Linked DNA regions of Macaca mulatta. The protein of the gene in region 1 purifies or fractionates together with the protein of each later gene. This does not show direct contact. Links are inferred from orthologs where the notes say so. Each region holds a gene or a part of one and is shown on either strand. Other genes may lie near its edges.

Evidence for each region. The genes of interacting proteins can lie anywhere in the genome.
Region 2: the proteins of PRMT1 (region 1) and LSM14A purify together in Homo sapiens (affinity purification with mass spectrometry; 3 studies listed by BioGRID and IntAct, with this or other methods). This does not show direct contact. The link is inferred for Macaca mulatta from reciprocal best matches to the Homo sapiens genes PRMT1 and LSM14A.

What each region holds. Positions count from the first base shown.
Region 1 is NC_133424.1:62,128,736-62,133,915, forward strand, and holds the start of PRMT1 (protein arginine N-methyltransferase 1), read left to right. Parts: upstream 1-2,152; 5' UTR 2,153-2,166; coding exon 2,167-2,202; intron 2,203-4,764; coding exon 4,765-4,818; exon of another isoform or gene 4,819-4,822; intron 4,823-5,032; exon of another isoform or gene 5,033-5,128; coding exon of another isoform or gene 5,129-5,146; intron 5,147-5,180. UniProt on the Homo sapiens protein: Arginine methyltransferase that methylates (mono and asymmetric dimethylation) the guanidino nitrogens of arginyl residues present in proteins such as ESR1, histone H2, H3 and H4, FMR1, ILF3, HNRNPA1, HNRNPD, NFATC2IP, SUPT5H, TAF15, EWS, HABP4, SERBP1, RBM15, FOXO1, CHTOP, MAP3K5/ASK1, MICU1 and NPRL2.
Region 2 is NC_133424.1:45,493,693-45,498,872, forward strand, and holds the start of LSM14A (protein LSM14 homolog A), read left to right. Parts: upstream 1-2,008; 5' UTR 2,009-2,038; coding exon 2,039-2,159; exon of another isoform or gene 2,160-2,884; intron 2,885-4,624; exon of another isoform or gene 4,625-5,180. UniProt on the Homo sapiens protein: Essential for formation of P-bodies, cytoplasmic structures that provide storage sites for translationally inactive mRNAs and protect them from degradation. Acts as a repressor of mRNA translation. May play a role in mitotic spindle assembly.

The DNA.
Region 1 (5,180 bases):
GAGATGGAGTCTCTCTCTGTCTCCTAGGCTGGAGTGCAGTGGGGCGATCTCGGCTCACTGCAACCTCTGCCTCCCGGGTTCAAGTGATTCTACTGCCTCAGCTTCCCAAGCAGCTGGGACTACAGGCGCCCGCCACCACGCCCGGCTAATTTTCGTTTTTTTAGTAGAGACGGGGTTTCACCATATTGGCCAGGCTGGTCTCGAACTCCTCACCTTGTGATCCGTCCACCTAGGCCTCCCAAAGTGCTGAGATTACAGGCGTGAGTCATCGCGCCCGGCCTAATTTTTTTTCTTTTTTTTGAGACAAGAGTCTGTCGCCCCGGCTAGAGTGCAGTGGCGCGATCTCGGCTCACTGCAAGCTCCACCTCCTAGGTTCAAGCCATCCTCCTGCCTCAGCCTCCCGAGTAGCTGGGACTACAGGAGCACGCCGCCACGCCCGGCTAATGTTTTGTATTTTTAGTAGAGACGGGGTTTCACCATGTTAGCCAGGATGGTCTCGATCTCCTGACCTTGTGATCCGCCTGCCTCGGCCTCCCAAAGTGCTGGAATTACAGGCATAAGACACCGCGCCCGGCCGCCCGGCCAAATTTTTTTTTTTTTTTTTTTTTTTTTTTTTTGAGACGGAGTCTCGCTGTGTGGCCCAGGCTGGAGTGCAGTGGCCGGATCTCAGCTCACTGCAAGCTCCGCCTCCCAGGTTTATGCCATTCTCCTGCCTCAGCCTCCCGAGTAGCTGGGACTACAGGCGCCCGCCACCTCGCCCGGCTAGTTTTTTGTATTTTTTTTTAGTAGAGACGGGGTTTCACCGTGCTAGCCAGGATGGTCTCGATCTCCTGACCTCGTGATCCGCCCGTCTCGGCCTCCCAAAGTGCTGGGATTACGGGCTTGAGCCACCGCGCCCGGCCAATTTTTGTATTTTTAATAGAAATGGGCGTTTCACCATGTTGGCCAGACTGGTGTCGAACTCCTGACTTCAAGTGATCCGCCCGCCTCCGCCTCCCAAAGTGCTGGGATTACAGGCGTGAGCCACTGCGCCCGAATCCTATCGGAAATTTTTAAGTCTCAGGCGTTTGCCAGCGGCACGCCAGAGAGTATAGCCTGCACCGAGGCCCAGAAACCAAAGAGCGAGCTCATTCCGGGATTGGAGAGGAGTGTGAGCGGAGGGAAGCAGAGGGATCAGAGAGAGGAGGGGCAGGACCCACGCATTCGGCCCTTTGCATTCAGCCTCATTCAACTAGGAACTTTTCCTGCAAATCAAGCAAAGCTTCCCGGAGGAAGTGGTGCCTAAGCTGCGCTCTGATTCTCGTTTAGAAGCTGACAAGACAAAGAGAGGTGGGCGGTCCTGGCAGGGGGAGGGACTCGGCAAAAACCAAGTACCTTGAGAGGGGTTGATGGGTTTTAAAAACTTTGAATGATTATGTCAAAGGCTAGGGATTTAATGTGTTGACTGCGGACTCCTATTCCTCACTTGCTTGGGGACCCCAGCGATGCCATTCCTCTCTCTGGGCCTCTCACTGATTCAGTTTTTCTCCCAGGTAATGAGCACAAGCTCCCTTTTTCCTCGAGACTCCCCCCGGGTTGGGAGGATCCACCGAGTGGACTAGGCGTGATCGTTCCTTTGAGCCAATCGTTGGTGCCTGAAGCCCCGCCTTCTTCCCCACCCGTGGGCCAATTGTCGTGTTCTCCTTGAGACTGGCCGCTTGGCGAGGGTGAAAGGCCGCGTGACGTCACTTCCGGATAAACCAATGGCAGCGATTAAGAGGCGGGTCGTTTTGGTGATGGACAGTTGTTTCAAGACGCCCCTTTAGCGCGGGGCTCCCCGGGAAGCTTTGAGGCGGTGCTGGGGGTAAAGGGGCGGGCATTCCTCGTGGATTTTGCCCAATCACCAGTCGCGCTTCTTGCAATAGACGGGCAGTTTTCCCCATCTCGGGTCGACTTGAGGGGGCGGGATTCTGGACGCCAGTGTTGGCAAACCCCTGACCTATGATGGACGTATTCTCCAGCCAATTATCAGACGGTATTCTCAGACGGGCCGCCTCCATTGCCAATGAAATCTTCCAGCGGGGTCGCGGTAGGCGGGCCGTGGACCCTCTGGTATAAGGCGGTCCCGGGGGAGTGAGGAGAAAGGGGGGGTCTTGGCGGCTGGAGGAGGAGTAGTTGCGGGTGAAGATGGCGGCAGCCGAGGCCGCGAACTGCATCATGGAGGTGAGCGCTTGGAGCGCCGCCGTGGGCGGGGGTCGGCTTTGGGTCGATGTTTCACGCCTCTGTGGTGGGGAAAGGGCTCTAAGTTGGCGACATGGGGTTGGAGGTCCCCCGCCGCACACGGGGGCGCCGCACGCTCCACATCCGGGGATATCGTTTGAGGTGACGGCTCCCTAGCTTTCAAGGGCCTTCGGCATCCGGCCTAGCGGAGGGTCTTATCCCCCCTCCCACGTGGAGGAGGGCTGGGGGCGCTTCCGGCCAGGCCCCCACGTGGCCGCGGCGCGGTGGGTGGGGAGGGGGTGTGCCGAGTCCGGTGGCCCGGCGGGCTCCACGTGCGGGACAAAGGCCCCGCCCCCGGCCGGGGAGGGGCGCCCGGGGGGGCGGGGAGGGGGTCCGACCCTCCTGAGGCCCCCAGCCCTCCTACCCAGGGACCCGGGCACACGTCGTGGGGTGGGATCGACCTGGGGCCCTCCACGATGTAGAGTGTCTTTTGGGAGGAGCAGTGCCTTTTACAACCTCCTTCCGAGCTCCAGGGGCATCTATTGGGATATCGGCCCTGGATTTGTGCGTTCTGGATTAGGGACTGGAGGAAAACCAAGAATGGGGCCCCCCTGACCCCATTTCCCCTCCTAGAGTTCTCCCCCTCACCCAGGGCTTTAGGTGTTGGGGGATGGGGCATGCCCCTGTGACCTCCCTCTGGGTGGTGGTGGGGCATCTAGATGGAGATTTTCCCACTAATAGGCGCCGTGCACCCCCTTGTGGCCATTTCTGGGTGTGTGGGAGGGACATCTTTTTCATGGGGCGTGTCCTGAAGCCCACCTCCCGTCGGATTTCTTCCTGGAGGGCGGAGGGAGGAGGGTACGTCCGCTGGGAAGGAGTTGTGGGAAATACGTAGGCTGAGAGCTTTACCCTCTGCTGGAGCGCTTTCTCTCTCCTGGGCCTTTGTGAGGGCGGGAGATGACCTCCCCCTTCCTGAAGCCCTGTGTAGGGGTCCTGAGCCCCGGGGTCCTGAGGGTGGGTGCCTGAAATGGTTTCAAGTGAGGTTTGGTTCTCGTGCAGCCATGTGGGGGAGGTTTCAGTCTTGCGTTTTAAGCCTTCGGGCTGGGGTTGTCTGGCAGTAGTTTTCAGTGGTGGTGATAAATGGGCCCCAGCGGGAAACCCCCGCAGCACCTTTCTTATAGGCATCCCCGCTGGCTTGGGAGAGCTGGGGGGAGGGTGTTTGGAGCCTAGTAGGTCATGGCCAGTGACGTGGCCCTTCTTGGAGTGGTCACATCTGGAAGAGATGTAATCTGATGGGGCCTCTGTCCTTCCACCCCTTTACCCATGGCATTGACTGGGGGGGCAGGTCAGCTGTAAGCTGTCAGGATGCAGCTCCCAGGGGTCACTGTAATGACTTCGCACCCTCTTGGCTGTCTCCTGCACCTGGGGCTCTGTGGGCGGAGGAAATAACTTTCCCAGAGGTGGCCTCAGGCTTGGCCGCACCTGGAAGTCTTCAGGACCTGGGATGGGTGTCTGAAATGGGGGCGATGGGCTGACTCCCCAAGCTACTTTTTTTTTTTTTTTTTTTTTTTTTTTTTGAGACGGAGTCTTAATCTGTCACCAAGGCTGGAGTGCAATGGCTTGATCTCGGCTCATTGCAACCTCCGCTTCCTGGGTTCAAGCGATTCTCCTGCCTCAGCCTCTTGAATAGCTGGGATGACAGGCACCCGCCACCAGGCCCAGCTAATTTTTGTATTTTTAGTAGAGATGGGGATTCACCATGTTGGTCAGGCCGGTCTCAAACTCCTGACCTAAGGTGACCCACCCGCCTCTGCCTCCCAAACTGCTGGGATTACAGGTGTGAGCCACCGCGCCCCCAAGCCACTTTCTGGAGCCCGCTCATTCTTAAGAGGGTCCAGGAGCTGCCCATCCTCCATGGGACCCTACCTTCGTGGGCAGAGGGTCATAAGGGAGCGGGTTGGTTCCAGCTGGTTTTGTTTGGGGCTCCTGAGTCCAAGGCAGGAGCTGGGGGCTGGGGTACTAGCTCTGGGGAAGTGCCCGTGTGCCACACCTCTATTCTGGAATCCTCTCAGACATGAGACTGGTTTGCAGAGGTGGCAGATGCCCTGTGGGCATACCCTGCCAGCCTCGTTCCCTCCTGCTATTCATGGCACCCTGGGATAGGGGTGTGTGTGTCAGGAAGTGTCACCTAATCTGGGGGAGATTAGGTGATGAGAGGGAGCGACAGCTGGCGGGGGTGGGTGCCAGTTCCCCTGGCCTGGATGGGGGAGGTGTGTGGTCAGCTGCCTGGCCAGAGAGGGGCAACAAGGGGGCAGGCCACCATCTCTCCAGCCACAGCTGGGATAGGAGACCCCCTTTCTTCTCCCCTCACTTTTCCCATCCCTTTCTTAAACACCCCACCTCATTACTTGCCCTCTTTGCCACCACTCCCCGCCAAGAAGGAGAATTGCTGGAAACCCCACCCCCCCCACCCCCCCCCACCCCGCCAGAGCCCAGGTCCCCGCGCCCAGCCCTCCCGCAGCCACTCCCAGTAGCTAATCCTTTCTCCCTGTTACTCTCTCCTAGAATTTTGTAGCCACCTTGGCTAATGGGATGAGCCTCCAGCCGCCTCTTGAAGAAGTAAATATCCTTTTGTGAGACCCCTTCCCACCCCGACCTCCACATCAATATATTTTGCCACACATCTGGCCCTTTCTTGAGGTCTAACCATACCCCTCTTGCTTCAAACCAGTTTACTGCAGGACCCCAAACACTTAGTAGCAACCCCTCCAGGTTCACAGCCCCCGCTGGCCTCCCCCAGTATCTCGGCTACTTCCTTAACTCCACCTCCAACCCCCCTTTGCCCTTCCCTGTGTCTGCCCCCATTTTCCTTCCCCTCCCCTCCCCAGCTGTGGGCTGAGCTAGAGACGGGGGCAGAGAGACTGGAGAGATGGTAGGCATGGCTGAGGTATCGGGGTGCTCCCCTGGATGGTGCTCTGTGG
Region 2 (5,180 bases), about 17 Mb from region 1:
CATCAGAGCTCTGTCTCTCTCCTGCGTCCCTCTCTTATGATGCCAGACTTCTCGCCATTTGCTCACTCAGCTCACTACCATCCTGCCTGTGCTCTGCCTTCATCCTGCTGTTCATTCATGCAGCAAATATTAACTGAGCAGCTGCCCGGAGCCAGGTGCTGTACTAGGCCCTGATGATACAGCAGCGACCAAAACAACATCTCTCTCTCTCAAAATGTTTACATTCTAGTGAAGCAGACAGACACAAATAATTAAACAGACATACTTGAGAGAGATACATGCTATAAAGAAAATGCAAGCTGAGTTAAGGAGATGTAGAGTGATGTGAGTGGTATTATTTTAAACAAGGTTGTCAGAGACGTCATATCTGGAGGTGATACTTGAGCAGATACTGGAATAAAGTGCTCAAGTACCGGTTGAATTAGACGTGACTGGAATAGAACGAGAAGCTAATTCATGTATATCCTTAGAAGCCAAAGTCTGGTTTTCTCTCTGTGTAACATGGGATCAGTAGAGTGAGTAGAGATAGAACATGATCAGAGTTATATATTTTTTTTTCTTTTTTTTTTTTTTTTTGAGACAGAGTCTCGTTCTGTAGCCCAGACTGGAGTGCAGTGGCACAATCTCGGCTCACCACAACCTCCGCCTCCTGGGTTCAAGCAATTCTCCTGCCTCAGCCTCCCAAGTAGCTGGGACTATAGGTGCGCGCCACCATGCCCGGCTAATTTTTTTGTATTTTTAGTAGAGACGGGGTTTCACCATGTTGGCCAGGCTGGTCTCCAACTCCTGACCTGTGATCCGCCCGCCTCGGGCTTCCAAAGTACTGGGATTACAGGCGTGAGCCACCGCGCCCAGCCCTGAGTTAGATTTTAACAAGATCTCTCTAGCTGCTGTGTTGAGAATAAAGTACTGGGGGCAAGGGTTGACACAGAGGCAACTTTTAGAAGGCTACTGCAATAATTCAGCCCGAGTAATCGTGGTTTGTGGGAGAGGTGTAGGGATGGAGATGAGGAGAAGAGGTCAGATTTAGGATACATTGTGTAGATATAACGGAGAGGTGTAGTCAGAACAGATGTGGAAGCAAGACAGAGGTCAAGACTGACTCAAGGCTTTTAGTCTGAGCAGCTGAGTAAAAATGGTACCGGTTACATCAACAGGGAACGGTGGTGAAGGAGCAGGTTAGAGGGGAAATAGGGAGCATGGCTTTGGACCCTTAACGTTGGAGATTGGACAGAGGCTAGGCGCGAAACCCGAGTTCACGGAATTGATCCAAGCTACAGACTGATAATTGGGATTGGTGAGTTACAATGGCGTTGCAAGCCATGAAGCTAGTTCAGACCGGCTGAATGAGAGGGACAGGAAGGGACTAAAACACTGAGCCGTCGGGAGAGCCCCAGCTCCAGGGGCAGCCTCGGGGGAAGCTCCCTGGACGATGGCTGCGGTAATAGAGCCGTAGGAGCTCCACGAGGTGCAGGTTCAGTGTCTTAAAAGGATGAGCAGCGGCTCGCCACAACTCGGAGGCGGGTGGGCAGCGCTCCAGGCGGAGGGCCCCGCGTCGGCAAAGACACAGGACCCAAGACAAGGCGGCCAAGGCCTGAGTCAAAAGGAGGGCCGCGCGCCTCCTCTCCAGCCCGCAGCAAGCGGTGCCACGAGGCACTCAGCCGGTCCCCGAAGTTCCTCTCACGCGGCCCCAGGACCACCGCCGTAGCCCAAGCCAATAGGCGCTGCCGGGACTCCCGAGGCCGCGAAGGAGCCGGGAGCCAGGAACCGAGAGCCGCCAGCCGTCGGCCAAGTCTCGCGACAGCGCGGCCTAGCCCTCCCAGCATGCCCCGCGCCGCCGCCGCTGCCGCTGCCGCCGCCGCCGCGCCGCGGCTTGAGGGCGGGAGGCTGGGGGAGGGTAGCGGACCCGGCGCCGCCGCCATGTTGGGTCTGAAGCGGCTGCTGTAGGTGTCGACGGAGCTAGCGGGCGTGCGGAGCGGGCGACAGCGGCGTGGGATCTGCCTCTCTGCGAGCAGCCGGGAGCGGCGGCGGCGGCGCCATGAGCGGGGGCACCCCTTACATCGGCAGCAAGATCAGCCTCATCTCCAAGGCGGAGATCCGCTACGAGGGCATCCTCTACACCATCGACACCGAAAACTCCACCGTAGCCCTTGCCAAAGGTACGCGGGACCGGGCCTCGGGGTGGGGGCCGGGCCGGGCGCCGCTCGGGGCTGCTCCCCGCTCCGGCCCGTGGCCTCCTCGTTCCCTTCCCTCCCTCCGTCGAGCTCCGGCAGGCCTTTCCCCTCTCCCCTCCCTTCTCCGGGCCCCGGCGTCGCGGGCCGGACCGCGGCCTCCCCGCGGCTCCCTGGCTTCCGCCCCCCTGGAAGGTCCGCGCCTGAAGCCCAGGGAACTACGGGACTGAGTGCGCGGCGGGCGGGCGGCCCTGAAGTCCGAGAACGGGCTGGAGAACACGGAGAAACGCGTCTTCCAACTCCGAAATTCGGGGCTTCTGTCGTCTTAGCACAAAACAAAGCCGGAGTATTCAAAGAATTTTTCCGCCCAGCTTGAGTTCATCGCGGATGCATTGACTACACAGCACCCATTTTCTCACTTTGTTCATTTCAATTCGTGGCAATCTTCCTCTGGTGAACTCTGAGTAATGTGCTAAAACTTTGGGTTTGCTCTGCGACGCAGACATTCTCGAAATGCCATCGATGCCGTGGAGCAGATCCCATCTCCCTCGGCTCATTCTCTGTTGGTATTTACCTGTTAAACCGGAATCCTCAAAGCCTGTTGTGCAACCATCTCATTAGGGCGCGTGGTAAAAATGCTTGCTGCTGCCCCGACTGCCCTGTTTCTGGAAACGGGTTCAAGCTTGATCCAGGATCCTTCTTGACCAGGCAAGCTTGACCTTTGATCCAGGCTCAGTGGGCGTTGACTGATCCCTCTGGAGGCTCTCTGGGAAAAGGAATTCGGCCGAGAAAGAAGGTGCCCCTACCCATAGTATTAATATTTGGCATCGCTAGAGTCTGTGTGGGTTTTGTTTCCGTTCACACGTGCAGGGCCTTTGCTCTGCCAGGAAACCAGAAAGTAAATAAACTAGCTCCTGAATCTTAAAGGAAATCTCACAACAGTGTAAAATACTTTGGGGGAAGCTAGATAACCTAGGTGATTTTCCCAGCACTTCTGGTAGAGGTGGGAGCTGCATAGCATGGTTAGGGACTCTCTGGGTAGGTTTGGTCCAAGGATAAAGAAGATTTTTGAAATCTGTAAACTTTTAAAAATCGTTAACTGATAGGGAAGTGGTTTCACGGGATCAAGTATTTAATAATACTTGTTGGATGCTCTGGTAAATCCTTTATTTATTTATTTTTCTGAGATGGAGTTTAGCTCTTTAGATCATGCAATGGCATAATCTCAGCTCACTGCAATCTCCGCCTCCCGGGTTCAAGTGATTCTCCTGCCTCAGCATCCCAAGTACCTGGGATTATAGGGGCCCGCCACCACGCCCGGCTAATTTGGTATTTTTAGTAGAGACAGGGTTTCATCATGTTGGCCAGGCTGGTCTCGAACTCCTGACCTCCGGTGATCCACCCGCCTCAGCCTCCCAAAGTGCTGGGATTACAGGCGTGAGCCACCGCACCCAGCCTAAGGTAAATCTTTTTACTAGCCCTGGCGTTGGGACAAATCTTATACCTGAGTAGGGAACCTTTTGATGTTTTAGAACTGTACACCATAAAGGAGTAGTACAAGATGGTGATAGTTTCACAGCTCTGCAAATTTGCTGAAGATCATTGAATTATACACTTTTTTAAATCACCAAGTCTAATTTTAAAAGTAGTATGAAAAACCAGGGAGTACCCCCACATTTCCCTCTTTACCTTGTGAAACATTGTATTATGACACATTACCTCATAAAAACACCTGTAGACTTAGCGCTTCAGTGTCTTTTTAGAAATCCACTATAGGATGCATGATGGTATTTGGTGTTTAAGACTTTCCCAGTGATGTTTCTTAAGTAACTTAGTTTTTGCTTGGCCTTATTTTGAATTTATTTTTATATTTTTTATATAATAGTTATTTAGCTGTATAGTGTTTTTCTGGCTTTATGCAATTATAAAAAAAAAAAGCCTGTCTTTATGAAATTATGAAAAGTGCTGGGTGAGAGCCAGATATGGGTTGAAAATAATTTCTCATTAAAGTGGTTTAATACATTTTTTAAAGTATTGCTTTACCTAATCTGAATTGAAAGGTGTTTTGCCAGCTTAGTGACTCAATAAGTTGGCTGTGTTACCTTTATTCCTCACAAAGAAAAAAAACATACATTTGAAAATTTTTAGAGTATTTTTGTTATTTTTTAAAAACTATGAACATATCCTTTTATGCAGGAACCCCAAAAGTCTACATTTTAACAACCCACATTTTAAAAACTTTTCAGCAGCTTTTGGAGTCAGTATTTCATTAGTCTGTAATAGTTAAATTCATATGACATAAAATACAAATTTGTTCTTCGTGTCATGACTTGATAAATATTTGAATATAGCAGTGAAAAAAAATTTTTAATCATTGAATTTACGTTTGTATTCATGCCTTTGATATTTCATTCCACATCATTATATGCTTTTTTTTTTTTTTTTTTTTGAGATGGAGTCTCACTGTGTTGCCCAGGCCACAGTGCAGTGGCACAATCCTGGCTCCCTGTAACCTCTACCTCCCAAGTTCAAGCAATTCTCCTGCCTCAGCCTCCTGAGTAGCTGGGATTACTGGTGCGTGCCATCACGCCTGGCTAATTTTTGTATTTTTTAGTTGAGACAGGCTTTCACCATATTGGCCAGGCTAGTCTTGAATTCTTGACCACAAGTGATCCCCCTGCCTCGGCCTCCTAAAATGCTGGGATTACAGGCATGAGCCACTGTACCCAGCTGCTTTTTCTTAAGCAACATGAGTTAAACATGTAACAGGTTTGGGGAATTTGATTATGCTTGCAAAAACTGACATTATCCAACCTTTATATATTATTCTACATATTATCTAATCAAAAACTACATTATAACTGTCTAGTCAATACTGGACACTTATTACAGATTTCAAGATTAGAAGCGAGGAGTTCAGTCTTAAAAATTTTAAATTTACATGACTGGTCGAGTAATTCGATATCAGAAAATTTCACCTTCCATTTCAAAATTTGAATGAAGAATGGT